Stegostoma tigrinum: one gene and its partner. The protein of the gene in region 1 interacts with the protein of each later gene in a pairwise test. Links are inferred from orthologs where the notes say so. Each region holds a gene or a part of one and is shown on either strand. Other genes may lie near its edges.

Evidence for each region.
Region 2: the proteins of wtap (region 1) and Wilms tumor protein homolog interact in binary tests that used the Homo sapiens proteins (3 or more experiments, as listed by UniProt). The link is inferred for Stegostoma tigrinum from reciprocal best matches to the Homo sapiens genes WTAP and WT1.

The regions. Positions count from the first base shown.
Region 1 is NC_081362.1:33,421,777-33,429,067, reverse strand, and holds the start of wtap (pre-mRNA-splicing regulator WTAP), read left to right. Parts: upstream 1-4,271; 5' UTR 4,272-4,307; coding exon 4,308-4,356; intron 4,357-4,407; coding exon of another isoform or gene 4,408-4,436; exon of another isoform or gene 4,437-4,543; intron 4,544-4,729; exon of another isoform or gene 4,730-4,938; intron 4,939-4,951; exon of another isoform or gene 4,952-5,141; intron 5,142-5,160; exon of another isoform or gene 5,161-5,350; intron 5,351-7,291. Other genes in the region: sod2 (superoxide dismutase [Mn], mitochondrial), read right to left, coding at 3,778-3,980, 4,408-4,436. UniProt on the Homo sapiens protein: Associated component of the WMM complex, a complex that mediates N6-methyladenosine (m6A) methylation of RNAs, a modification that plays a role in the efficiency of mRNA splicing and RNA processing.
Region 2 is NC_081370.1:43,239,802-43,247,013, forward strand, and holds the start of Wilms tumor protein homolog, read right to left. Parts: upstream 3,022-7,212; 5' UTR 2,601-3,021; coding exon 2,204-2,600; intron 1-2,203. UniProt on the Homo sapiens protein: Transcription factor that plays an important role in cellular development and cell survival. Recognizes and binds to the DNA sequence 5'-GCG(T/G)GGGCG-3'. Regulates the expression of numerous target genes, including EPO.

The DNA.
Region 1 (7,291 bases):
CCCTTAATATCCAGAGTTGACAGGATTTAATGTTCTCACCCTTTATTGAAACACATTGGTTCTGTATCTCCATATTTCCTTATTGAACGCATCCTACTGTCCTTGGCCGGATTTGCAAGTATCTACTTACAGTACACTCTGCCCAAAGCATATCTGACCTCATTGAAATAATCCACCCCTCAGCCGAGACCTTTGATTTCAGGCCCAACCTTGTTCTTTTCCATAACAATCATGACTTGAATGGACTTACAATTGCTGCTTGCTAAATGTGTTCCAGTAATACCTCAACCACTTGCCCAGCATCCTTCCCTACAATTAAGTACAGAACTGCCTCCTCTCTCGTAAAGAGCTCTCTGTACTTGTTTAAAAAGTTGTTCAGGATGCATTTTAAGAATTTCTGCTCCAGACCTTTCACACAATGACTACTCTAGTTAATTTTGGGCAAGTTGAAATCCCCTATCACAACCCTACTACTTATACACTTTTGAAATGTGCCTACATATCTGCTCCTTTATTTCTCTCAGGCTGTTAGGAGCCTACAGTACACTCCAGCAATGTGATTGGTCTTGTGTGTTTTTTTTAAACACCACCAACATGGCTTCATTTGAGGAGCCTTCGAAGATGTCATTCTTCCTGAAATAGTTCTATCGAGAAATAACATCTTCCTCTTTTACCTCCTTCCCTGTCCCACCTATAGACCCTGTAACCTGGAACATTGTTAACAGACGATCAAGACTGGCAGCTGTCTTACAAACAGCAGTGACATCATACCCTCATGTTGTGCCCTCAGCTCAACTGCCTTGTTCATCAGACACCAAGCATTAAAATAAATACCTTTCAACCTTGCCAAACTCCCTGCACCTTAACAATCTATAATATGACTCGCTTGCTGTCACTTCTAATTTTGGACATTCATCTTCATCTGAACATTCTGTCTGGATCTGTCAAGTCAGCCCTGCTACCTAATGGGTCTTCAATCTACTTCCTATCTCCCCAGATTCTGCTTTCAGGACATCGTCCCCTTTCCAACCCATGTTTTTGGTACCGCTACGTACAACGATCCCTGGCTGTTTGTCCTCCCATTTCAGCAGTAGGGTATTCTGGGTCAGTGGCATCCCTGACCTTGGCACCAGCAAGGTGACATACCATTCTGGAGATAATGGGAACTGCAGATGCTGGAGAATCAGAGATAACAAAGTGTGAAGCTGGATGAATACAGCAGGCCAAGCAGCATCTCAGGAGCACAAAAGTTGACGTTTCGGGTCTAGACCCTTCATCAGAGAGGGGGTTGGGGAGAGGGTTCTGAAATAAATGGGGTCGGGGGGGGGGGGGGGAGGCCTCCCCCTCTCTCCCTATTTATTTCAGAACCCTCTCCCCAACCCCCTCTCTGATGAAGGGTCTAGACCCGAAACATCAACTTTTGTGCTCCTGAGATGCTGCTTGGCCTGCTGTATTCATCCAGCTTCACACTTTGTTATACTATTCTGGAGTCTCTTTTGTGGTGACAGAAATGTCCCCCTTACAATCGAATTGAATCCCCTGCCATCCTTTTACATCCTCACGTGCAGTGTGCCCACCCACAGTGCCACGAATTTGATTACCATTGCTTTCCCCTGCACAATCATTTCCCCCAGCAGTATCCAAAACAGTATGTCTGTTAGAAAGTGAGATGGGCACAGGGGACTCCTACCTTCCTGTGCTCTGTCTAATGGTCATCCATGCTCACTGAATGTGTTTTCCACAACCTGCTCAGAATTACAGATTCTCCAAAATGCAGATCACCAATAGCTGTGGCTGGACACACTTCTGTACACATTTTCACCAGGGCAACTGAAGCTTCCATGATTGCCACATAGTTACAGCAGGAGTATATCACAGGTGCAAGCTTTGCTGCCGTGACTTTTTTTAAAGTACATTTGTAACTCTTTTTTTCTAATAAAAAAGATTGTGATAATTTAGAATACTGCTAACTTACTTTCCCATGCTATGTACTTTCCTTACCCTACTTTACTTATTTATATTTCTTAATTATACTGGACCTGACTTTCATTTGTTTCTGTTGTTTCTCAGTTAATCTCTTCTTTCAAAAAGTATACACTGCTTAAAAAAAATCACAAACCAATCAATATGCCACCAGTGATGTCACTGTTTTGATTTGTTTTCCCAATCAGCAGATCTCTGAAGCTGCAGCTATTAAACTAGGGCTCCTTTCCCTCAGCTGAAGGAACTTACAAACTATGGACAAATAAAAACAGAAAGCATCAGGGAAGGGAATTACTGCCCTGAGTTTAACAAGATAGGGCGGGAAATCTCACAAAACCCTACAATGAAAAACTCTCCAAAAAACTTGATGCAACCTGGACTTAGCAAAATGATTCAGCCTGTGATCTACCAAGCTAGATTCTACCCTGGAAACTGACTTGACCAATATTAGATGAGAGAAAGCTGAGTTAACTTGGGAGTGGTTCATAATCTGAAGATGTTGAATTCAATATTAATTTCAGAAGGTTGTAAAGTGCTTAGTCTGAAAATGAGATGTTGTTGTTCCAGTTTATGTTATTTGCTGCAGCATTGCAGCACACTGACAACTTTAAAAGAAACACAAATTCCTCATTGAGGTAACAAGGTGTAGAGCTGGATGAACACAGCATCAGAGGAGGAGGAAGGCTGACGTTTCGGGCCGAGGCCCTTCTTCAGGCCCTGGACCATTTTCTGAAGAAGGGTTTCGGCCCAAAACGTCAGCCTGCCTGCTTCTAAGATGCTGCTTGGCCTGCTGTGTTCATCCAGCTCCACACTTTGTTATCTCGGATTCTCCAGCATTTGCAGTTCCCATTATCTCTTTGCTCAAAGCTAAACGTGGAACAGTTTAATACCATTATTTACTTGGAGGAACAAAAACAAACTTGTGATGTCCTGGAAAAATGAGACATGCTGCTGAATTGTTTTATCACATACGGAACTGAGTACAATCACTAGAATACCATATGTCAAAGGAAACAAATTATACTGTGTGAAGAAAGGATACTGAATGGTTGGCAAATAGATTCCGAATGGTAATGCACCAAGCAACATCTCCCCAAAGAAAATGTTAATTGTAGTTCTTTTTAAATGTAAACTTGGCAAGTCTCACCCAATCATGACCGTTTGCCAACCAATTAGCATTCTATTCTCATGCAGTATAAATTGTAGCGGCCTTTGAAGTTTGATATTCTCATGATTCTGTCCTGTCGACTGCAAGATAAAATAAAAAGCTAGTTTAAAAAAAGCACACTTTTTTTGGAGATAGTAAGAGCTGCCAATGCTGGAGTCAGAGATAACACAGTGTGGAGCTGGAGGAGCACAGCAAGCCAGGCAGCATGAGAGGAGCAGGAAAGTTGACATTTTGGGTCAGGACCCTTCTTTAGAAATGGGGCAGAACTGCCTGGCCTGCTGTGCTCCCCAGCTCCACATTATGTTATATAGCACATTTTTTTCTTAGTAGTAATAGTATTCGAAGTCCATTATTTCACTCCCGAAAGCATTCTGATTTTTGAAAGAATTATCACTTATTCCTCCCTGGTCAGCTAATTTATACGTTGAATCACAGATCTCATGTACCCTTAAAAAAAAGAAAAAAGCAGATGCTAGACTTCAGGACCAAAAACAGGAATTGCTGGCAGAACTGACTAAGTCTGGCAGAATCTGTGGAGAGAAATCAGTTAACGTTTTGGGTCCAGAAACCCAGAACAGACCTATTCAGTTTCTCCAGCAATTTCTGTTTTTGTTGTGTACACTTACCCTTGGCCAAAGCCTCAGCATATTTCTCTTCTGTGATATTCAAGTTGTTTACATAGGTAGCATGATGCTTGCTATGGTGCAGCTGCATTATTTCTGCACTGATATGTGGCTCCAATGCACCATAGTCAAAAGGAAGATCAGGCAGTGTGTGTTTTTGTTTGGAGGCTAAACAATGAAAATCTGGAGAAATGCTGGAGTAACATCTGCATGAAAAATGGAAGTTATAATCAGTCAAATTAAAAACATATTCACTTTCAAATGCTTGTTCACTTTTGAAACATTAACTACTTTAAATGCTTTCAAGCTTCTGATATTTATCAAGGAAAAAAGTTGAACGGGGTGGACGAAAATGAGTGAAGTGGGACAATGAACAGGAGGGGAGAGGGACAGAGGAAGCAAGTGGGGGAAGGGCGAAACGGAGTAAAGGGGTGGACGGGGGTGGAGATGGGGAGGGAAAGGGATTTGGGGCAGCGAGAAAAGTCGTTGAGACGGTACTCAATCAGCCTTCCGGGAGGATTTTTGCAGAAGCGATGTCAACGTCGAAAGCTTTACTCCAACGACATGAGCGTGATTTTGCCGGTGACTGCCCTACGCGTGCTTTATTTTTAAACTAACAAATATCACACTCACCTTTGAAGATAATTGAGTTTGTTTAACATATTCAGATTTTAGTGTGCGCTGGACAACGTCGAAAGGCACAAACACAAAACCTGTGCTTGCAATCGTACAACACAACGCCCTTGACCTTTGAACTCAGACCCAACCATTTCATTATTTTTTAATTGAATTTTTTTTTTAAAAATCACCTAAATTCAGGAATAATAGCAAAACTAAAACAAGTATTTTGTCGGAAGTATTTATTCTTAAAAAATCGCAAGCATGAATCTTGGTAACTCATCCCTACTACAATCCCTCCAAATTTTTTTGGCACAGCAAAAGCGCTCTTCCGACAACCCAAAGCAGAGGTTTATTTCTGTTGTGCGGTTCTGCGTGTTACTCCGCTACTGAATTTTGAAGTGCGTGTTTCCTTCCCGTGACGCGTCTTAGACGTGAATGGCGGTCGTGGTGACAGCTTGTGCTAGGTTGGCTTGAACTCTGCCCAGCATTAATAGGCATTCAATAGGTTGAATGTGGTACTGTTCGATTTTTCAAGGAAGTCGGGTGAGTGAGTGAACCGGCTGGCTTGCGGGCGCGGCAGTGCGTCAGTTGGATTCGGCGGCTGCTAGGCCGGAGACTCGCGGCGCCATTTTATCTAGGGTTTTTTATTCTACCAAACGACGATTAAGTCAGAAAACGCATACATCTCTGAAGAGCTGGTGATCTAAGCCCCTCCTTACACCCGGGGCCTTGCAGCCAGGCTCACGGTTAGTGTTTTTGGACATAGTGTTTTAGTTTGTGTCTGGAGTTTCTAAAAGTGAGGGTAGCAAGTGTCTTTCCTTGTTATAAGCGTGCACTTGTTTTAAATGACACTAAGCGTGTTTCTTGCTCGTACCACCTCGAAAAATAGCCCTCGAACTAGGTAATGCATGCCGACCATTAGGGCATCGGATAGGATGAGCTTGTTTGTTACAGGGTAAGTTGTTATTGGGCCTAGTAGATTCTACATTCACGGAAATGGGGTATAATAGCGATCCTTTGCAAAAATGAAAGGATTGAGCTTGTGTCATGATCGATAGGAAACCGTTTCTATGCTGCAGAGCGGAAGCCGCCATTAATTTCCGAAATGAGTTATAGATTTTTTTCTCCCAAACGGGCATTTGCCGAATGCCACGGTGGTTATTAAGTAGACATGCTTTTTCTTTCTCGTTGAGATTTGAAACTATTGAGAGTTTCTTAGAGTAACCGATTCTACGTTTGAACTATTGAGTTATCTTTAATAGGTTTTCCTTTGCGTGGATAACAGAAAAGGCTTGCTTACTTGGCTGTATGTGTGTCACCTTTTATGCTACTCAAATTGGGCTGTTATAATTAAAAGGGGAATTTTTTCTGAAAAGTTGAAATAAAGTAGAAAGAAAAGCTTTGACCGCTGCAGTATCTATTGCCGCAGTGTGCCTTTTGTTTCAGTTGCCTTTTGCATGCACTTTGTATTGAGAACACTACTGAGAAGTGAAAAGGCACAAAATGAAGTTGTCGCAAGATGGTTGTCAAATGAGAAGGTTTGAGAAAATCAAGAGATTCCGGAGTACAAAGGATGTTGTAATCTCCAATTTCACTCTAATCTGAAATCAGTGTTTGGTCAAATAATGCAAAAAAAACTAAACATTTTTAGTCATCGAGATAGTCACCTGAAATTATTTTATCACAAACTGTTGGATGAGTTGTATCCTTTCTTTATAAAACTAAACCAGGCGTCTCTGTCAATCTCCTCAGGAATATTTTATAAATCTGTTCCTAATAGATGATGTTACAAGGACACGGACCTAAGGTTTTGGGCATGGGAGAAAGAATTGCTTTGCAGGATAAAGCTGGCTACTTCTGTATAGTCTGAAATTAAATACAGTAAATGTCTAAAGAGACTTGGTGGGTCAGGTGAATGGAGCACAAAAATGCCACGAACTGGTGCACAAAATAATACAAAGTACTGAGTCTCCAAATCTAGGAACTACTTTAGGAGGATTTTATTCGCATTGGGGCGAGTACACTGTCAGTCGGCAAGAACAGTGCATGGACTTCATTGAGCAGAGAGGGGGATGGGGGGAGGGAACTGGAATAAATAGGGAGAGAGGGGGAGGCGGACCGAAGATGGAGAGTAAAGAAGATAGGTGGAGAGGGTGTAGGTGGGGAGGTAGGGAGGGGATAGGTCAGTCCAGGGAAGACGGACAGGTCAAGGAGGTGGGATGAGGTTAGTAGGTAGCTGGGGGTGCGGCTTGGGGTGGGAGGAAGGGATGGGTGAGAGGAAGAACCGGTTAGGGAGGCAGAGACAGGTTGGACTGGTTTTGGGATGCAGTGGGTAGAGGGGAAGAGCTGGGCTGGTTGTGTGGTGCAGTGGGGGGAGGGGATGAACTGGGCTGGTTGAGGGATGCAGTGGGGGAAGGGGAGATTTTGAAACTGGTGAAGTCCACATTGATACCATATGGCTGCAGGGTTCCCAGGCGGAATATGAGTTGCTGTTCCTGCAACCTTCGGGTGGCATCATTGTGGCATCCTGGACACCACCCCCAGGCCTCCTACCCTCCCTCGACCTCTTCATCTCCAACTGCCGTCGAACCTGGACACCACCCCCAGGCCTCCTACCCTCCCTCGACCTCTTCATCTCCAACTGCCGTCGAACAACCAGCCCAGCTCTTCCCCTCTACCCACTGCATCCCAAAACCAGTCCAACCTGTCTCTGCCTCCCTAACCGGTTCTTCCTCTCACCCATCCCTTCCTCCCACCCCAAGCCGCACCCCCAGCTACCTACTAACCTCATCCCACCTCCTTGACCTGTCCGTCTTCCCTGGACTGACCTATCCCCTCCCTACCTCCCCACCTACACCCTCTCCACCTATCTTCTTTACTCTCCATCTTCGGTCCG
Region 2 (7,212 bases), on another chromosome or scaffold:
AACAGGCTGCAGCCTTCCTCTGTACCTTTTTGAATAAATAGAAAACAAGAGCAGGCCATTCAGCCCAGCTGGTTGATGCCGGCGATAATGCAGCACCCCGGCCTCACTCATCCTCATGTTATTCACCAGCATATTGTGGGGGCATCAAGAAACAAAAGCGCATTATCTCGCATTCAAGAACCCCAATTAAAAACCTTAGAAACGCCCCAAATTGTCAATAAGCGCAGTTAGGCAGAAATGATCCAAGCATCGCATTTTCAGGTGAATTCTGCCCTGCTGCGCGAGAGCCCGACTCAGCAAACAGCCAGTCGCTGCGTCCGTTCGTTTCAAATTCGTTCGGATTCCTGTTTATTTGCTGTTTATTTCGGCCTCCACAAAGGAGGAATTCTCGAGTGGAGCAATATCCACGTGAAGGGAAAAGTTATTTATTAATTCCGGGCTTGTTTCCCCGGGCAGCTGTGAGCAGAGGGCACAGGACCCATTATTATATTCCAGAAAAGAAAATCGGCGGATTTGTATAAGTAAAATCTGTGAAATTTCTGTAAAAGTAATATTTGTAAAAGCGGCAGCTTAAAAGAGATACATTGCAAGTGATATCAGATATGGGGGTGGTGGAACAATGCAGGATTTCTCTTGAAATCCACTGAAGAAAAAAATGTTGTATTAAGGATGGCAGTGAGAATATCTCCAACATCTAGAAAAAAATATCTTTCGTTTTAATACCTGATGCGCGGCCCGCTTTTGCATAGCGCAGAGGAGCTTTCTATGTAAAATGATTGCAACTCAGCAGCAGCCACGGGTGATCTGCGATTTTCTACACATGGGGATTTAGATTATTGCATTAAAACAAATGCCTTGCACTTTTTAATCGTCTACCCGCTCATCTCTTTCCCCGTTCGGCTTTTATCTCTCAGTTTTCAACCCCCTATGTTCATCCTACTCACTGACCAGTAATCACAAACTGTTCTGCATTTGTTGCACTTTCATTAACGACTTGTTTTTTTTTAATTGATAATCCCATTTAAAGCTTTGTCAGAAGACTGCGCGTGTATTAAATTGAAGGTGCCTCAAATGTTTCAATTCAATCTCAATATAACGTGCGTTTTCATACAACGAAAACTTGTTTCTTTTTGACCCAATCCTCCAGGTATCACTATTTGAGGAAACATTATTCCACACCCCACCCCCACTTCCCTTGCCACCCATGAATGAGAAACGAGCTTCTGCAAGGCAACTCTTTAATACAACATAAATGGCAACAAAGAATCATCTATAATCACTCATATCCTCTGATACTTCAATCTGCAGAAAGCACTCACAATATTACACCCCACTAAATACACAGGGTTAATGTCGATACATGCACATTTTGTCGATTCTCGCAATTGCTTATGTGCCTCTGGGAACATCTCATTGATGCTTACAATCACATAAATACTACAGTCTTTCTAGCAATTATGTTTCAACTTCCCTCAAAATTACGTCCATTGATCCAATTTACTTTGACAAATGAAACACAGTTTTCACTGTACGCAACACAGGACTGTGGTTTGGAGACATCTGAGCCGGGTGCCGGAGTTTAAAAAAGTACATAACCCATCTTTCGGATTTCCGCCTGAGGATTTCTTTGCAAAAATGAAGTGCTCAGAGCTGGTTTTTAAAAAATGTACACCGCGCCGGACCAGTAAAAGTCGCTCCGCTTCAGAAAATAAGTTGGGAGCGTGAAGCCTTTTGAGAGACGTGAACTGGAAACGCAAAATGAAGAAGTGGAAACACTTTGTGTCGTACGGAAAGAACTTTCAAACGCCTTTGCATTTTAGCTACAAACGTGGTTTGCAACGGGTGCCCGATTCTACGTAGTACCGATCTCAACATTTTTAAGGGAAAAAGTGCGCTGAAATACATATTATTAACAGTTACATTGCTGCAGTGAAACCCCCGCTAACATCTGAACTAAATCTATCTGACTTGGTTTAAATTCTGTTTTGTCACATTGGTGACGGGAATTAGGAGGGCCTAATTTCACAAATGGAATCTGCCGAGCTGAATACTTTTAGGATTCTTTTTGTTGATACACTCGTTGCTAATAACCAGTTCTGCAGCCGTCTCTGAATTTTACCCCTAGTTGAATGGAAAGTTTTTGGGGGTGGGGGCTAGGAAATGGTAAATTTTTTTTTTCCCATTTCTGCTGCCGTTTTCTTACCCTGATTCCTGGCTGGCTGTTGCGTGTCCATACAATGGTTGAGGTAACCGCCGTTGGTGAACATTCTCGCCTGACTCGGAGGCGCCTGACTGGGCGGAGGAGCCCCGAACGCTCCGTAACGACAGGCCCCGGCCGTGCCGGTGAACTGACCGGAGAAGTGAACAGTGAAAGCGCTGAGGCAGTGGTCGTCGTGGGGCTCGCTGGCGCTCCAGCTCGGCTCTTGCTTGATGAAGGACGGGTGGCCGATCGGAGCGCTGTAAGAAGCCCCCGGGTGAAAGTCCAGCACCGGAGCCCATTGAGGAGCGCTGCTCACCGGCATGGTACAGCTGCTGTTCCCCGGGGTCAGAGTGGAGACTGCCGGCAGCAAAGCGTTCAGGTCCCGCACATCGGAACCCATGGTGTCCAAACAATCTTTTAACCAAAACGAATCAATCGTTTATTTCTTGTTCTCCTCTCTATATGAATCCGTTCCACCCTCCACCCCCTCCAACACAATATTCCCAGGGCTGGGATCTCCTCTTGTTGGTCAAACTTCCAAGCTCTTCACACAGTCTGCAGGGCTATTGTATTGAGGCTGTCAAATGGTATGTACGATAGGATGGCGAGTTGTGCGTGTTTAGTAGCAGCAACACTATGGCACATGTGTTGGATTGGATTGGTGACTCCGAGCCTCAAATACTGCGGAGAGGTGGAGCCTGAAAACTCTCTGATCGAGATCCGTCCTCCCTGGTTACATGGACCAGTTTCCCTGTCCACACAGTGTGTACAATTCTCTCTTTCTCTCTCTCACACACACACACACACACACGCACACACACTCTCTCTCCCTCTCGGTGGTGCGATCTGTCGATTAGTTAGCGAGAGAGGAACAATCTGGGCGAAGGGGTGGGGGCAGGGAGGAAGCGATGGGGACGAGGGTGTGTGTCTGTGTGTGTGTGTGTGTGTGTGTGCGCGCGCGGAGCGGGGGTGGGGGGTGGGATGCATGTAGGGGTAATTCATCCCTAATTTCGAAAGTCGCTATCATTCGACTCAAGCCTGTGGTGAATCTAACCAAACTTCCCCTCTATATTTTCTGAAGAGCTTGTTCTGCAATAATGGAGGCTGTGGATCAGATCAGTAAGTCGAACTAAAATGTCGAATAAGACACTACATAACTTTAACATCTGTATACATAAACATAATATCACAGGTACACGTGAATACTGGATGGAGATGAAATTGACTCCCTGGAATATTCAGGTTATTGTAATATTTCAAACAAAAACAAAAGCTCGCTGTATTTTAATTTAGCTTCGCTTTGCTATCGCTGCATTTGTCGGAGATTTCAGAATCACTATATCTGCTTGTGGGATCCCAAAGTACAATCTAAACTGTTGCTTGATGTTTGAAAACAAAAGCACGAAACGTTCTCTTTCTGGGCAACCAGCTGCTTCGTTTATTTTGCTTGGGATATTTGAAACGACCGAAAATAAGCGAAATGCTTGCATATGTTTTATTTAAAGGCATTTTTATTTTATAAAATCCGAACATCACTAAAACTGTTCCGACTTGGGCAACATTTTTTCAGTTTAAATGTCAATTGGCTGCTGATTTGTCGATGGTTTGATGTACAATATCTCCACTAGAATGTTCGAAAATGTGAGCCACCAACTTATCATTTAATCTTTATTTGTGAACGCACCACACGGGGTTGTTGATGGATGTGCAGAGAATTTGCGATTGGGACTATATGATAAACTATTAGCTTCGCGAAAAAAACGCAGGGAGAACAGAAGAGACGCATCAGTTCCGAAGTGACAGACCACAATCCATTAAAGAAACGAGCAGCACATAAACGACCATTTAAACGTTAATGAACTTTCCCCTCGCAGACGATTACTTTTTGCCTGACATGTTTTCCTTTTAATTTTCACACGGTCCAGGAATCCGACGGTCTGTTAAACAGCGATCTACTTAATTTGCTTTCTTTTAAAAAAAGCTCTGGGATAACTTGAGATCTGTTTTCATTGAAGCAGGTGAAAGCTAAATCGAATGCCAGGAATACAGCCTTAGAGTAAAAGGTTGAAGCAAACAATTGTGAAAAATGCAGATATGCAATGCATTTTTACCCAGATTAGATCTTAATTTAGTAAATGATATAACCGACTATACAGTGGAGGTGGTGACCTTATTGCATAGAACACTTCCTAAGTAATGGAACGCAGTTACTGTGCAGTGCTGTGCCAGTTATTGAATGAGTTTACACGCCCTGTACAGTACAAAGTAAAATATTTTGAGATGCGAAATTACACTTGCCGCAGATGCAATCGCAAACAGGTCTCACGCCTTTCTTTCCAAGACCAAACATTAGGAAAACAAAACCGCGTGGTTACAAGCGTACAAAATAATACGATTAATTATTTACCTCAAACTACTTTGCGGAAAGCATGGGCATTTATTATTCTTGTAGGCTTCTAAGTAATAATCTCGGGATGGAAAATAGCAATTTGCAATTGCTGGAATGGCTTGCGATTGTGAACCTGTGACGTTTGAACTTTCGCCCTAATTGCATCCTTATGATTTCTTAAGTATCAGTGTGTACATGAAAGTTAAAAAAAAGTGGAAATCACTTGTTTCGAGCAAAACTAAATCCCCTCTCCATGCAGCTCCCAACACCTTCATGCAAACGCCTGTTTGTACCATCCGGCAGATTTAAGAAAAACTGTTCATGATAACACAACACGTCCAATCAAATGACGCATTATTCTTTTATTTCTTGAGATTTATTGCTACATCCTTTTTTCTTAAACTTTATAGCTATATTTGAAGATTAGCACAGTTAAATGAAAGGTTTTCGTGGGGAAAGATCTATTAACCAGTGAGCACAGAGAACAGTTACTGAAATACAGCAATCATTTCAGACAAAATCGTCTATTTGCAATATTGTAATTATATCATTGTATTCTATAAAATATGTTCCTCTAATTTTCACCGGAAGTTTTTAGAAGAACGCATTAGATTTGATGTAATTTTGTACGATTTAAAAACAGTCATCATATTTTCCCCTAAGAGACTATCAAGGAGAAAGATAAGTCGTTTCTAGTTATTATCCATTGTAGTCTGGTAGTTACTCAGCTTTAAATTCAATTGGGCATTGTCAATATGAAAGGAAAGTGCGTGTTACTTTAAAAATATTATTGATTTTTCCTCCAGCCAGTTACACAGCACGTTTCTTCGCAAATCCCTCCGGGGTGTGACTCGATATCGGGTCACTGTTAGAAAGAGCCTAGAGCTAATCAGTACAGTATTGACTAAGAGTTGTTATATTTCACCAAATATTAAATTGACCGAATGTGTAAATGTCTGGCGTTTTCCTTTTAAATGCAGTTTCCCCTCAGAAACTGGGAGCGCTTAGACAAAAAATTAAAGAACTTTCGAATTTAAAACAAAGAACGTCAAGTTAAAAGTTTCATGTAGATATAAATACACGACTATTTGTTTGAAAATAAGCAGTCAAATTTTGAAATTTGAAAATGATTTCGAAACAATTTGAAGCGATTTGTTTAAAAGCGAATAAAACTGAAGATTAAGAGAGGAACTTAAGGAGAGTTAAAACGGTGCTGCGATCAGATTTATTTGAAGGATGTTGAAGCAGCAGGACGACTTAACTTGAAAAACTAAAAGTAATCATTCTGCAAAAAGACCCGGGCGAAATTAATCGCCTCGATAGAGAGGAATGATAATAAAGCTAGCCAGCGTCCCACGTCACAATGTACTTTGAGAGTTGGTGTAAAGCTATGGTTTTGATGCACATTTGCTGTAAGTAATTTCATTGAAGGCGGCGTTCCCGTGGGTTTTTTTTCCCCCGGGGAATGGAATTTTGGTTTTTCATTGTTTGGATTGTCAGAACTTGCGAACTTCGTGTATGCATCCAAAGAGTGCGAGAAACCAAAGAGTGGTGTGTCCAGTTTGAACTCCTAGCGGATTTACTGTCAATTTGGAAGTTTTCTTTGACTTCAAACAAGGCCAATTGATTTCAACATCTTTCATGAAACGGCGCGAAACTCAGAATGAAGGTTACAATTCAAATCTGTGTAAAGAACGTCATTCATTTAATTTCACAGCCCGGTGTAAGGATTTGCGAGGACCGACCATCTATTACTTTCACAATGTGCCTCTACCTTTGGGAATTAGGACCACTCCAACTAAACGTGCCTGACTGAAAGCACCTTCCTCGACCAAAGAAAAGGCAGTTTCCCTTTGGGCTGGAAAATGTCCAATTAACTACCTTATTTATTATACTTAAACCCCCGATTCTGCAGGTGAACTTTTTTTTGGAATAAACACGTTTGGAACGATTGCCTTTGACATTCCAAACTTTCAGAGAATGAAAAATAAACACTTTTCTTAAGAAGCACGAAAACGTCAATTGGCGCAGTTAACAATTATTTTCACATACTTCCCTCGATAAATTGAATCTCTCTTTGTACAGAGTGACGTGCTTTTCCTCGACTGATTTGAACCTTGATCCTATTTCACTAGTTTTGAACTGGACGTTACTCCATTTTGAAATAATGACAAATTTGTTTTATTTTGATTTGTGGTTCGGCTTTTACAATCGGCCCCGTCACTTTATTTTAGAAGTTGCTGTGGGTGAGGTAAGTGATTTCATTCAGTGTCTCCCCAACCTGGACTATCGACCTGGTCATTTGTTCAGCTCCCCAGACTGGTCAGTAACAGATGGAAAAGCAACATGCCAAAGGTAAAGGTGAAGATTAGTCTGTTAAGCCCCGGCATTGGAAGTTGAAGAGGATCTCGTCCGTGTAAAAGATTGACAAGTGATCTTCTGTTCGTTGTTAACCCAGCAAACGGATCATTTCATCACTATGTACAATTTGCACTCGGGATGTTGGGGTTCTTCCGGAGCAGAGGTAGTGAAGTCACATCTGAGCTAAGACACCCATGTTCAAATCTTATTTACCCTAAAGGTGTGTCAAACGTCACTGAATAGGTTTGTTAAATATATCTAT